3 linked regions of the Sus scrofa genome follow. The protein of the gene in region 3 interacts with the protein of the main gene of each other region in a pairwise test. Links are inferred from orthologs where the notes say so. Each region holds a gene or a part of one and is shown on either strand. Other genes may lie near its edges. The genes, in order: PSMD3, SYT6 and ZBTB43.

What was found.
Region 1: the proteins of ZBTB43 (region 3) and PSMD3 interact in binary tests that used the Homo sapiens proteins (3 or more experiments, as listed by UniProt). The two-hybrid records come from large-scale screens. The link is inferred for Sus scrofa from reciprocal best matches to the Homo sapiens genes ZBTB43 and PSMD3.
Region 2: the proteins of ZBTB43 (region 3) and SYT6 interact in binary tests that used the Homo sapiens proteins (3 or more experiments, as listed by UniProt). The two-hybrid records come from large-scale screens. The link is inferred for Sus scrofa from reciprocal best matches to the Homo sapiens genes ZBTB43 and SYT6.

Annotation. Positions count from the first base shown.
Region 1 is NC_010454.4:22,357,639-22,361,948, reverse strand, and holds the start of PSMD3 (26S proteasome non-ATPase regulatory subunit 3), read left to right. Parts: upstream 1-1,398; 5' UTR 1,399-1,578; coding exon 1,579-1,798; intron 1,799-4,310.
Region 2 is NC_010446.5:106,471,244-106,474,892, forward strand, and holds part of SYT6 (synaptotagmin-6), read left to right. Parts: intron 1-941; coding exon 942-1,062; intron 1,063-3,649.
Region 3 is NC_010443.5:267,404,954-267,408,602, forward strand, and holds part of ZBTB43 (zinc finger and BTB domain-containing protein 43), read left to right. Parts: intron 1-3,265; 5' UTR 3,266-3,288; coding exon 3,289-3,649. UniProt on the Homo sapiens protein: May be involved in transcriptional regulation.

The sequences.
Region 1 (4,310 bases), on a different chromosome or scaffold from region 3:
TTTGCTATTTCTTGGGCCGCTCCCGCGGCATATGGAGGTTCCCAGGCTAGGGGTCGAATCGGAGCCGTAGCCATTAGCCTACGCCAGAGCCACAGCAACGCGGGATCCGAGCCGCGTCTGCGACCTACACCACAGCTCACGGCAATGCTGGATCGTTAACCCACTGAGCAAGGGCAAGGACGGAACCCGCAACCTCATGGTTCCTAGTCGGATTCGTTAACCACTGCGCCACGACGAGAACTCCTCCCCTGGGGGATTCTTAAGCCCACCTTAGGTAGACTATTATTCTGTTCCCCATTTCACTACAGTGAAGAGTCTCCATCATCATCTTCCACCCTCTTGTGTCCAGCATCACAATACATGGCAGCCCAGAGCAGAGCTTCCAGCAGACCACGCTCTGGAGCTGTTTTTCTGGGTTGTTTTTTTTCTGGCGCGCGGGGGGGTGGGGAGTGTTGGTTTGCGGGGTTTTTTTTTGTTTTTTGTTTTTGTTTGCTTTTTAGGGCTGCACCTGCAGCATATGGAAGTTCCCAGGCTAGGGTTGGAATTCGAGCTGCAGCAGCCAGCCTACACCACAGCCACAGCAACATGCCAGACCCGAGCTACGTCTGCGACCTACACCGCAGTTTATGGCAACGCCAGATTCCTAAGCCGCTGAGCGAGGCCAGGGATTGAACCTGCATCTTCATGTATATTAGTCGGGTTTGTTACTGCTGAGCCACAAAGAGAACTTCTGGAGCTGTTTTTTTTTTGTTTGTTTGTTTGTTTGTTTTTTCCACCACCCTGCCCCCTGAAATGTGCTAGCCCTGAGCCTCACATAGAGTGGACCCCTAAATTTTACTAAATTATAAGTGATTATACGCAAATGCACTCTCCCCGCATCCGCACTCCCAGGCTGCAGAGATTTTATGCCTTATTTTCAGCACTAGCTAAAATCGGACAAGAAAGTCTGAATCCCATGGGGTTCTTCCTCGTCTCCAATTCGGTGTAGTTTTCAGCCCAACAGCCTAGCTCAACATCCCTTCGCAGCTTCTTTTCTTCTCTCGCGCCAGTTGCATCAAGCGGCGGTTGAGAACTGCAAATTGAGCGAGTTTAGGCATGAAACTCGCCTGGCAACTCGTGGCGTCATCACGCTCTGCGCTTGGATAGACCCTACCCATTTCATCGAAGTTGGGTGCTTAGAGTCCGCAGTGACCCAGTGGGGGCCTGAGGGGACCTCATGCGGACATACATAGAAATACACCGGAAAGGAACACAAAGGAAAAAAACACACAGAAACAGTTCAAAACAAGCCGGACAAACCCCTACAGGCTCCTCCCCGCTCCTCCTCGAAGATCCGCCTCCATCCGCACATCGGCTGTTGATTTTTCTCCCCTTTGTGGACTCGGCAATTGGCCCACTCGGCCTGGCATTTCCCACAAGGCCCAGCGCCGGGAAGGGGTTTGCAGCTGCTCCGTCATCGTGCGGCCCGACGCGAGCCCGCGCTCGTGTGCAGGCCCGGCTCGGTTCCTGGTCTCCGGTGCGAGGATTCACCCGAGGCCCCGGCCTCGGTCCCCGGACTAGGCCGCGACCCCGGGCGCCATGAAGCAGGAGGGCTCGGCGCGGCGCCGTGGCACGGACAAGGCAAAGCCACCGCCCGGCGGAGCGGAGCAGGAACCACCGCCGCCCCCAGCCCCTCAAGATGTGGAGATGAAAGAAGAGGCAGCGGCCGGTGGCGCATCAACCGGGGAGACCGATGGCAAGGCGGCAGCGGCGGCGGCTGAGCACTCCCAGCGAGAGCTGGACACCGTCACCTTGGAGGGTACGAGAGCGCGGGCCGTGGGCATGCCATGACCACGGGTGACAGCGCCGCGGTGATCCAGCGCAGCCTCTACCACCCCTAGTTCGTTGAGATCACCCCCAGGTGCCCGCCCCTACTTCCCTCACACTCCGACCCCAGCCTCACTAGCCGAGCCTTCTCTCCGGGCTCAGGCCCTTCGCACACACCTCTCCGCAACCTGGGGTTGCGTCCAGAACTAGATGTCATTGGGCCCGTAGACTCCCTTTTCTGAATTCTCTCCTCTGACGTTATTACTCCTTTTACACTGATTCTGGCGTCCCCAGTGTATGATTGACCTCTCTAAAAACCAGTGTAGTCATGTGCGAAGGAGGTCAGGATGACGCAGAATACTGGCCCCGAGTTTTAAGAATGGTTTGTTGTCTTAACTACCTTTAGCAAACTGCCCTAAAAGAGCTCTTTTTACATAGCATCTTGCTTCCTAGTTGCTGTAATTGAGATGCCCGCGCGATCCCCTTTGCCCTGTTTCTCCTCCTCTAAGCCCAAACTCCTACTGTTTCTAAAGTTTAAATATATTACACACCTTGTTTGAGTTCCTCGTACTTGCCTTCCACCTAAACAACCCCCAGCCCATTTCTTTTCTCCTCGGCACCTGTTGCCAGTTTCCTATCATTCTCTCGTTCCTCCAAGTTCATATTTCGCTTTTCTTACTCAGAGCTCCCTGTCCACATTCGGAGTGGGTAGAGTGAGAGCTTCTCATTGTGATCTTGATGTTGTTTTTCTGTTCTGGATCAAATAGGACCAGACTATTTATTGATTTTCTCTGTACTTAACTGCATAAGAACCTCGCTCAAAAACATTGAAGTAGGAGTTCCCGTTGTGGCTCAGAGGAAACAAATCGGACTAGGAACCATGAGGTTGCGGGTTCGACCCCTGGCCTCACTCAGTGGGTTAAGGATCCAGTGTTGCCGTGAGCTGGGGTGTAGGTCGCAGACACAGAGTGGATCTGGCATGCTGTGGCTGTTGTATAGGCTGGCACCTACAGCTCCAATTCAACCCCTAGCCTGGGAACCTCCATATGCCATGGGTGAGGCCCTGAAAAACCAAACAAAACAAAAAACACATGGAAATAAGCAAATTGATGCACCTGAGTGGTGTTTTGAGAGTGTGATAGTGTTGACTGCATGAGCTCCTACTCTAAAGTTGGACAGCAGGAGTTCCCGTCGTGGCGCAGTGGTTAACGAATCCGACTAGGAACCATGAGGTTGCGGGTTCGGTCCCTGCCCTTGCTCAGTGGGTTAAGGATCCGGCGTTGCCGTGAGCTGTGGTGTAGGTCGCAGACGCGGCTCGGATCCCGCGTTGCTGTGGCTCTGGCATAGGCTGGTGGCTACAGCTCTGATTCGACCCCTAGCCTGGCAACCTCCATATGCCACGGGAGCGACCCAAGAAATAGCAAAAAAAGACCAAAAAATAAAATAAAATAAAATAAAGTTGGACAGCAGACTTATTATCTAAATAAGATCCTTTTTTGCGGTTTATGAGAGTCGACTATATGCGAAAGTTTCCAAGCCAGTGATCGAACCCACACCACAGCAATGACAATGCCAGGTCCTTAACCTACTGAGCCACCAGGGAACTCTCATGTTTCTTTTAAACACCTCATTTAATATGAAAGCTCTGAAGTAGAAGGGGGTAAAAACAGCCATGGTTAACATTTTTCCCATGAATTTTTGAGCTGTTCTCCCATAATGGAGATCAAGGCTATATAACCAGTTAGGAACAGGGCATAACTAAATACAGATGGGTTTGTGTGCTTTCATGTAACACATCCGTAAACATAGCACTCAGTGTATTCCAGAAACATTTATTGAATACCTGACATAGTGGCAAAGAATATGAGCTCTGAAATTAGTTTTCTTATCTCTACAAATGAAAGTACTAGTGTTTACTTAATTGAGTTATTGTGACGATTCAAATGCTTAGAACTAGGAGTTCCCACTGTGACACAGTGGGTTAAGAACCTGATTGCGACAACTTGGGTTGCTGCAGAGGCACTGGTTCGTTCCCCAGCACAACTCATTGGGTTAGAGGAGCTGGCTTTGGCCCAGCTGCAGAATAGATCACAGCTGCAGCTCGGATTCAGCCCCTCGCCCAGGAACAGCCATTAAAAAAAGAAAAAAGCTTAGAATGGTGCCTAACATAATAAAGGGGAGTTCCCTGGTAGTCTAATAGTTAGGATTCGGCACTTTCATCACTGCACCCCAGGTTCTGTCCTTGGTCTGGGAACTAAGATCCCACGTCAAGCCACCACATGATGTGGCCAAAAAAACCCAAAAACCTAGTAAAACCCTTCATAAATATTAGCTGTTATCATTAGTATATATCATTAATGTGACCCAGGCACCATATGCTGAATTTACAAAGGTAACTAAGAAGCTACCAATTGATTGCACTCCAGTATTCTTAGACATTTGTTTCCATTTTCTTCTATTGTAAACAGTTTTGCACCCATCATCTCTGTGCCCTAGTTTCTCTC
Region 2 (3,649 bases), on a different chromosome or scaffold from region 3:
CCCAAACCCTGTCTTCCTCCTCTCCCACTCCAGGTCTGCGGGCTTTAAGGGAGGAAACATCTCCATGGCTTGGAGCCCCATGTCAGCCTCAGAGCCTGAGGCAGGGGGTTGGCAGGGACAGCACCCTCCTCTATCAGGTGGGGAGCAGGACGCCGAGGCATTCCAGCAGGGTGCTGTTTAATTCAACAGCCAGACGTGCTTCCCATCTCTGAAGTTTCCTAGTTCCTGCTGCTCAGAAGCTTGCTGGTACTGGGATCCCCGGTCATGGTGCTTCTGGGGGCAGGAGAGGCAGCAGAGTGTGTGCTCCGAGCTGGGTTCATTTTTGAAGGATGACCACATTTAAGGACAAAGTGGATCCAAGGCCTGGCCCAAACATGGAATGGCGAGTGGACGTCTCCTTGGTCAGCAGCAGGTCCTGGGCCAGTCCCAAGTACCAAGTGAGTTTCGGGAGAGGCAAGAAAACTGCCAAGGCAGAGGGACTCACAAAGAATGACTGAGCTGAGGGCTAGCAGCAGATCTGCAGGGAGAGGGGATCCTGATGGCTGGAGTGCATCTTGTAAGGGACACTGACCAAGCCAGGCAGTGCAGGGACTCAAAGGGACCAGTGACCGAGAAGGGTGAGCTGGAGAATGTGGTGAGCCCCAGAAGGCCTGGTGATCTGGAGGCTGCAGCCACGGGGCAGAGGTAGGGCAGGTGAGGCCAAAGCAAGAGGGGGAGGACCTGGACCCGAGTCTGATCAGAGCTGAGAAGGCATATTGAAGGGGCCGAATTCTACTGAAGAACCAATATTGCTATCATTGCCTTACAGACCCTGGGACTCCCAGCATGGAGGCCAGACCCTCGGGTCTTAAAGACACGGTGCTCTGCCTCGGAGAGCCTTCCCCTGGGCCCCCACGGGTGCTGCGTGCCCCTCACCTGCTCTCTTGTCTGCTTCTTTGCAGGAAAGTGTGGATCTGGGGGAGATCATGTTCTCCCTCTGCTACCTGCCCACAGCAGGCAGGCTCACCCTCACGGTGATCAAGTGTCGGAACCTCAAGGCGATGGACATCACGGGCTACTCAGGTACCTTTCCTCCCCGAGGGCCTGCCCCGTGGCCTCTCGGCAACCCAGATGTTTAGATTTGGAGAGATGCTGAGAGAGAAGGGGGAAGAATCGTCAGTACTCTTAGATAGGAGCACAGCCCTGGAGGCAAACGGCCTGGCTGTGAAGGCCAGTTCTGCCACTTTGCTGTGGGATGCTTTGGTTTCCTGACCAAAAAAAAAGAAAAAAAAAAATGAAAAAGAACCACGAAAAAGAAAAAAAAAAAAAAAAAGAAAAAAATTTATGCAGGTTGCTTTAAGGATAAACATGTAAATGCTTAGAAATGTGTCAGACACATAATGAGCACTCAGTAGGTATCAGCTATTACTATCATTCTTTCTCTTTGATGATGGAGAGAAGAAGTAAATAAATAGAAAAAAATAAGGAAAAATCTTTCTAGTTTGTGTGAGGTCTCGGGACTGCCAAGGGTTATGTCAAGTTTGAGTGTCCAAGTGTCTGTAGGTCCACGCAGCCCTGCGGCAGCCCTGCAGACTGAGTCAAAGGAACAGAGCCAATGACAAGCAAAGCGCATTTGTATTTGAGGTTTTCCTGCAGGGCCCTGGGCCTCCGTGTCAGCACCAGGAGAGCTGCTGGGTACAGCAGGAGTAAGCAAGTCCTGTTCTAGCAACCGAGGAGGTGCTTGTTTAAATGCAGCTCGGAGCCTGCAGGCTGGATGTGGTGTCACAGGCTTAATCCTTTTGCACGATGCTGCAGGTCGTTGTCAGAGAAGGTTTCTGAGTTCTGATGTAACAGAGGAGTCCCTGGCGCCTCCATCCCTGTGTCAGCTCACATTAGCCCAGGAAGTGAAATGGGCTGGAGTGCCTCAAAGAGCAGGCACGTACGCCGGGCTGCACTCAGAGCAGCAAATGCAGGGAAAGGCTGGGTTTATTTTCTTTGACCCCTACCCAAGGGGCTCTTTTGAAGATTCCAATCACCAATGTAAATCCACTCCAGAGGTGCCTCTGAACTTGGCGGAGAGTATATGGAAGATTTTTCCTTTGAATCATTCATTATTTCCTGGAAAACTCCTTAGTATAATCAGAGTGGCCAGGAAGCGGGGACGGTCCAGCTGGAAAACATCTGGGCCCAGGCCCAACCTGGCGCAGCTGGAAGGAGATGAGACATGAGGCCTTGAAAAATGAGGTTTCGGGGAAGGGTAGTCAAGAAACGCTGAAGGAAGGTGTGTTTGCTGCGGCTCTGAGTCCCTCAGAGCCTCTGCTCCCAGCCCCCACCGCGTCTCTGCAACACTCAGGTCTTTCAGGCCAAAAGCTGCCCCAGACAGTGCCTGCCCTGGCACGTCTCCTTCCACTGAAGCTGCCACCACACACCAGGTCGTGGCGAGGAGCTCAAACCACCTCTCCTGACACTGTGCAAACCTCTGAGGCAGCAGGAAGCAGGGCCTCCTCTAAATATACAGCCAATGTAGATTTCATTTTAATATCAAAATAAGTATGTGCAGGGATGGAAATTCACTGAGGACTCTCAAGACTGCTGAAGGAAATAGGATTTTGCTGCCCCAGTCCCCACACTATCTTCTCTGGTGTAATTAAATTGATGGGCTAGAGAGAAAGCTTACGGCAAAGCCACCAAGGTAATCTTAAAGGCTGTTCCACGTCAGAGGGTTGGGGGGCAAGAGATTTTTCTCCTGCGAAGTTCTAACCTCCCTCTCAAGATCGCCCCTCTTTTCTACCTGACTTTGGAATCTGGTATTCAATCTCGGCTGCATTCTGAAAATCCCGGGGTCCTGTTTTTGTCAGGGCTGTCTATCTATTTTGTTCACTGATAGAAGCAAACGTATGAAACAGTGCATGGAACATAATAAGCACTGGATAAATATGTACTGAATGATGAATAAATGATGAATGAATGAACGAACAAACTTACAGCGTAAGGAACCTTGTCAGAGGGTGATGCTGTGGGGACGCACATGCCAGGGGCCTCTCACACCAGATCTCCTGTTTCAGAGGATAAGGCTGAGGTTGCCTTCAGCTCAGACCGCTTTGATGTTAGACTAAACGAAGGAGCGCATGGAGCTCATTAATTGCCTGTTCTTGATGTATATGACACTGACCTCTAAAACCCAGCATCTTCCTATTCTCCTTGATCCAGTCCAGTCATGAATCAATTCTCTAAGCCTATCCACTAAAACTATGGCAATAAAAATAATACAAAATAATAATAAGGATGAGTACGCCCCAAAGGGGTGGTAAGTCGGTAAGCCTGCCCATCTCTGCCACCCCTGGTCTATACTGCTCTCTGTCCAGGGATTACAAATGTAAACTTTGGAGTCAGGCCTAACTTCAAATCTTAGGCAGGTTTCTTAATCTCTCAAACTTCCATTCCCCTATCTATAAAAGAGAGATGATGATAAATATAGAGTTGATGTGATGTTTAAATGACATGGTATGTGTGGAGTTTCTGCTGTCACACGAGGAGACTGGCAGCGTCTCTGTATCGCAAGCACACAGAGTCGACCCCCAGCCCAGCACAGTGGGTTAAAGGAGCCAGCGTTGCTGTAGCTGTGGCATAGGTCACAACAAGTGTGTGTGGATGTGATCCGTGGCCCAGG
Region 3 (3,649 bases):
CAGAACTGCTTTTAAAAGTCTCCTCTCAGGAATTTCTGTTGTGGCTCAGCAGAAACAAATTCAATAGGAACCATGAGGTTGCCTGTTCGATCCCTGGCCTCACTCAGTGGGTTAAGGATCCGGCGTTGCCATGAGCTGTGGTATAGGTCACAGATTCGGCTGGGATCTGGCTTTGATGTGGCTCTAGCGTAGGCCAGCAGCTACAGCTCCGAATGGACCCCCAGCCTGGAAACCTCCATATGCTGTGGGTGCAGCCCTAAAAAGTGAGGAAAAGGGGGGGAAGAAAAAAAAGGCTTAGTCATATAAAATTGTAAAACCATACTTGAAATACTGAGGAAACATTGAGATAGTTTTTCAATAAATAGTGTAGGAAAAATAGGTTCACCATTTTGGAGGAGAAAGAAAAAATTAGATCCCAACCTTCTCCTTATGCCAAAATAAACTTTGTGTATTAAGATTTAAATGCCTTTTTTAAAAATGGTGCCAGAAGGAGTTCCCTGGTGGCCTAGTAGTTAAAGGATCTCATATTGTCATTGCTGTGGCATGGTTTCGATCCCTGACCCAGGAACTTCCTCATGTTGTGAGTGTGGTTAAAAAAAAAACCATGCCAGAAATAAAACCTAAATATTTCTTTTTACTTTTTAAAAATAATCTTGGAGTCAGGAATGCCTTTGTGTATCTAACACAAAACCCTGGTGCCATAAAAGGAAAAATTGGACAATTTACATAAATTTTGAAGTTAACCTCCTGAATTTACAAAAATCAATAAGATGAATTGGTCAGTTTATTTGAGCAAAGGGTATGATTCATATATATAGGAAAAACAAATGACCAGTAAACATGAGTGAAATACCACTCTCATTCATAACTAGAGAAATGTTGATCAAAACAATGAATCATGGGTTATTCCCTTAGGAGATTTGCACACTTTTTTTCTTGTTTGATAAAATCCAGCATTGGTAAGGGTGCAGGGAAATAGACACTGTCATTTAGTGGGGCAGGAGTGTAACTAGAAGCAACCTTTCTGGAAACTGGCTTTATTCAGTTTATATATATTGAGATTATATATTACATATCTTAAGCACATAATACTTTGACCTAGCAATTCCAGTGGTAGACATTGCTCTCTAGATATTTCCAGAGATATGCCAAGATAGTTATGCACAGATGTCCGATGTGGTGTTGCTCATAATTTCAAAGACCCAGACAATTGAAATTCTGTATTTTTTGTTTGTTTGTTTGTTTGTTTGTTTTTGTCTTTTGAGGGCCACTCTTGTGACATATGGAGGTTCCCAGGCTAGGGGTCAAATTGGAGCTGTAGCTGCTGGCTTACACCACAGGCACAGCGACTTGAGATCCGAGCCATGTCTGTGACCTACACCACAGCTCACGGCAACACTGGATCCTTAACCCACTGAGTGAGACCAGCAGTCAAACCCAAGGATCCTAGTCAGGTTTGTTAACTGCTGAGCCACAACAGGAACTCCCAAAGGGACAAGGGATTTCTGTGTTGTCTCTTTCCTTTATAAGGTCACTAATGCCATTCAAGTGGGCTCTGCCCTCATTGTCTAATCGTCCCCCAAAGCAAATACCCACCACATTGAGGTAGAGTTTCAACATGTGAATTTAAGGACACAGTCAAATCAGTCTATAGCATGTCGGATGATCTGCAAGACAAATTGAATGACAGAAGCTAAGTGTAGAATAGAATGTAGGTGATGAGCTAATTTGCATAGGAATTTTTATTTCTTTATATCTTTGGGGGACCGCACCTGCAGTATAGGGAAATTTGCCGGGCCAGAGATTGAACCTGAGTTGCAGTTGTGGGTAGAAATTTTTAAAGGATGTATATTATTTATTCTGATAATGCATACAGAAGTTTCTAGAAATATACACAGGAGTTTGTTAATGGTGATTTCTTCTGGGGGAAGAAACTGGGGCTAAATGGAGAGGTTTTTCTAACAACTTTTTGTAAATTTTTTATGTGTATCATCCCTTCCCACCCCCCACCCCCCTGTTTTTCAGATAGCTACAAACAAAATTCTTCAGTGACCAGAGCAGAGACTCCAGATGTAGCTCTCAAAATTTACATAACCTCTAGGCTATACATTTATATAGTTAAATTTTCCTTTGAAAATACAGACACCTAAGTAGTTTATTTCCTGGCTTGTTTTTAAATTTTTTCTTTAAAATTATTAAATTTGGGAGTTCCCATTGGGGCTCCATGGTTAACGAACCCAACTAGTTTCCAGGAGGACATGGATTCGATTCCTGGCCTTACTCAGTGGGTTAGGGATTCGGCATTGCTGTGAGTTGCAGAGTAGGTTGCAGACGTGGCTCAGATTTCTCATTGCTGTGGCTGTGGCGTAGGTTGGCAGCTACAGCTCCAACTCGACCCCTAGCCTGGGAATCTCCGAATGCTGCAGATGCAGCCCGAAAAAAAAAAGACAAAAATATTATTAAATTGGTATTATTATTATTTTTTTTTTTTTCTTTGCTGACCACCCCATGGCATATGGAGTTCCCAGGCCAGGGATCAGATCTGAACTACACTTGTGACCTATGCCACAGCTGTGGCAACACTGGATCCTTAACCCACTGTGCCAGGCAAGGGTTCAGCCTGCGTCCCAGGGCTCCAGAGATGCTGCAATCCCATTGTGACACAGTTCACAAGGATCTCCTATGAAATGTTTTAAGAGCTATAAACCATAAATTAATACTTCATTCTAAAAACACTCTCTTGGAGTTCCCATCATGGCTCAGTGGTTAACAAACCCAGCTAGTATCCATGCGTACTCAGGTTCGATCCCTGGCCTTGCTCAGTGGATCAGGATCCAGCATTGCTGTGAGCTGTGGTGTAGGCTGGCAGCTACAGCTCTGATTTGACCCCTAACCTGGGAACCTTCATATGCCATGGGTGCGACAACCCTAAAAAGACTAAGCTAAAATAAAATAAATAAAAATGTTGTCTTCTTAAAATTATTTTGTTTTACTTGGGATTTATATAGCTTCAAATATTTCTGGATTCCATTTTCCCACTCAGACACAGGCAAAATCAAGAATTAATACCATAAAGAATGGTGGGTGGTGCTTGCTTTTGGCACCGTTACACCTGCAAGCCTTGCTCTGGAGGATGACAGCTCCACCCACATTGCCCACAAGTAGGGGGAACTTTGTGGAACTGTGGACCTTGTCTTAATTTTCTTAGTGATCAGTACGTTTCTCTAGGGGCTAGAATTAGTACTGATTTTTCTCTTTCTTGTAGCACCGAACGAGATTTGTGATGAAATGGAGCCTGGAACAAACTCTTTTCGAGTAGAATTTCCTGATTTTTCCAGCACCATTCTGCAGAAACTAAACCAGCAGCGCCAGCAGGGACAATTATGTGATGTCTCCATTGTTGTCCAAGGCCACATTTTCCGGGCACACAAAGCTGTTCTTGCTGCCAGTTCACCCTACTTCTGTGACCAGGTACTCCTGAAAAACAGCAGGAGGATTGTTTTGCCTGATGTGATGAACCCCAGAGTGTTTGAGAACATTCTCCTATCAAGTTACACGGGACGTCTAGTAATGCCTGCTCCAGAAATTGTCAGTTACTTAACAGCAGCAAGCTTCCTCCAGATGTGGCATGTGGTAGACAAATGCACTG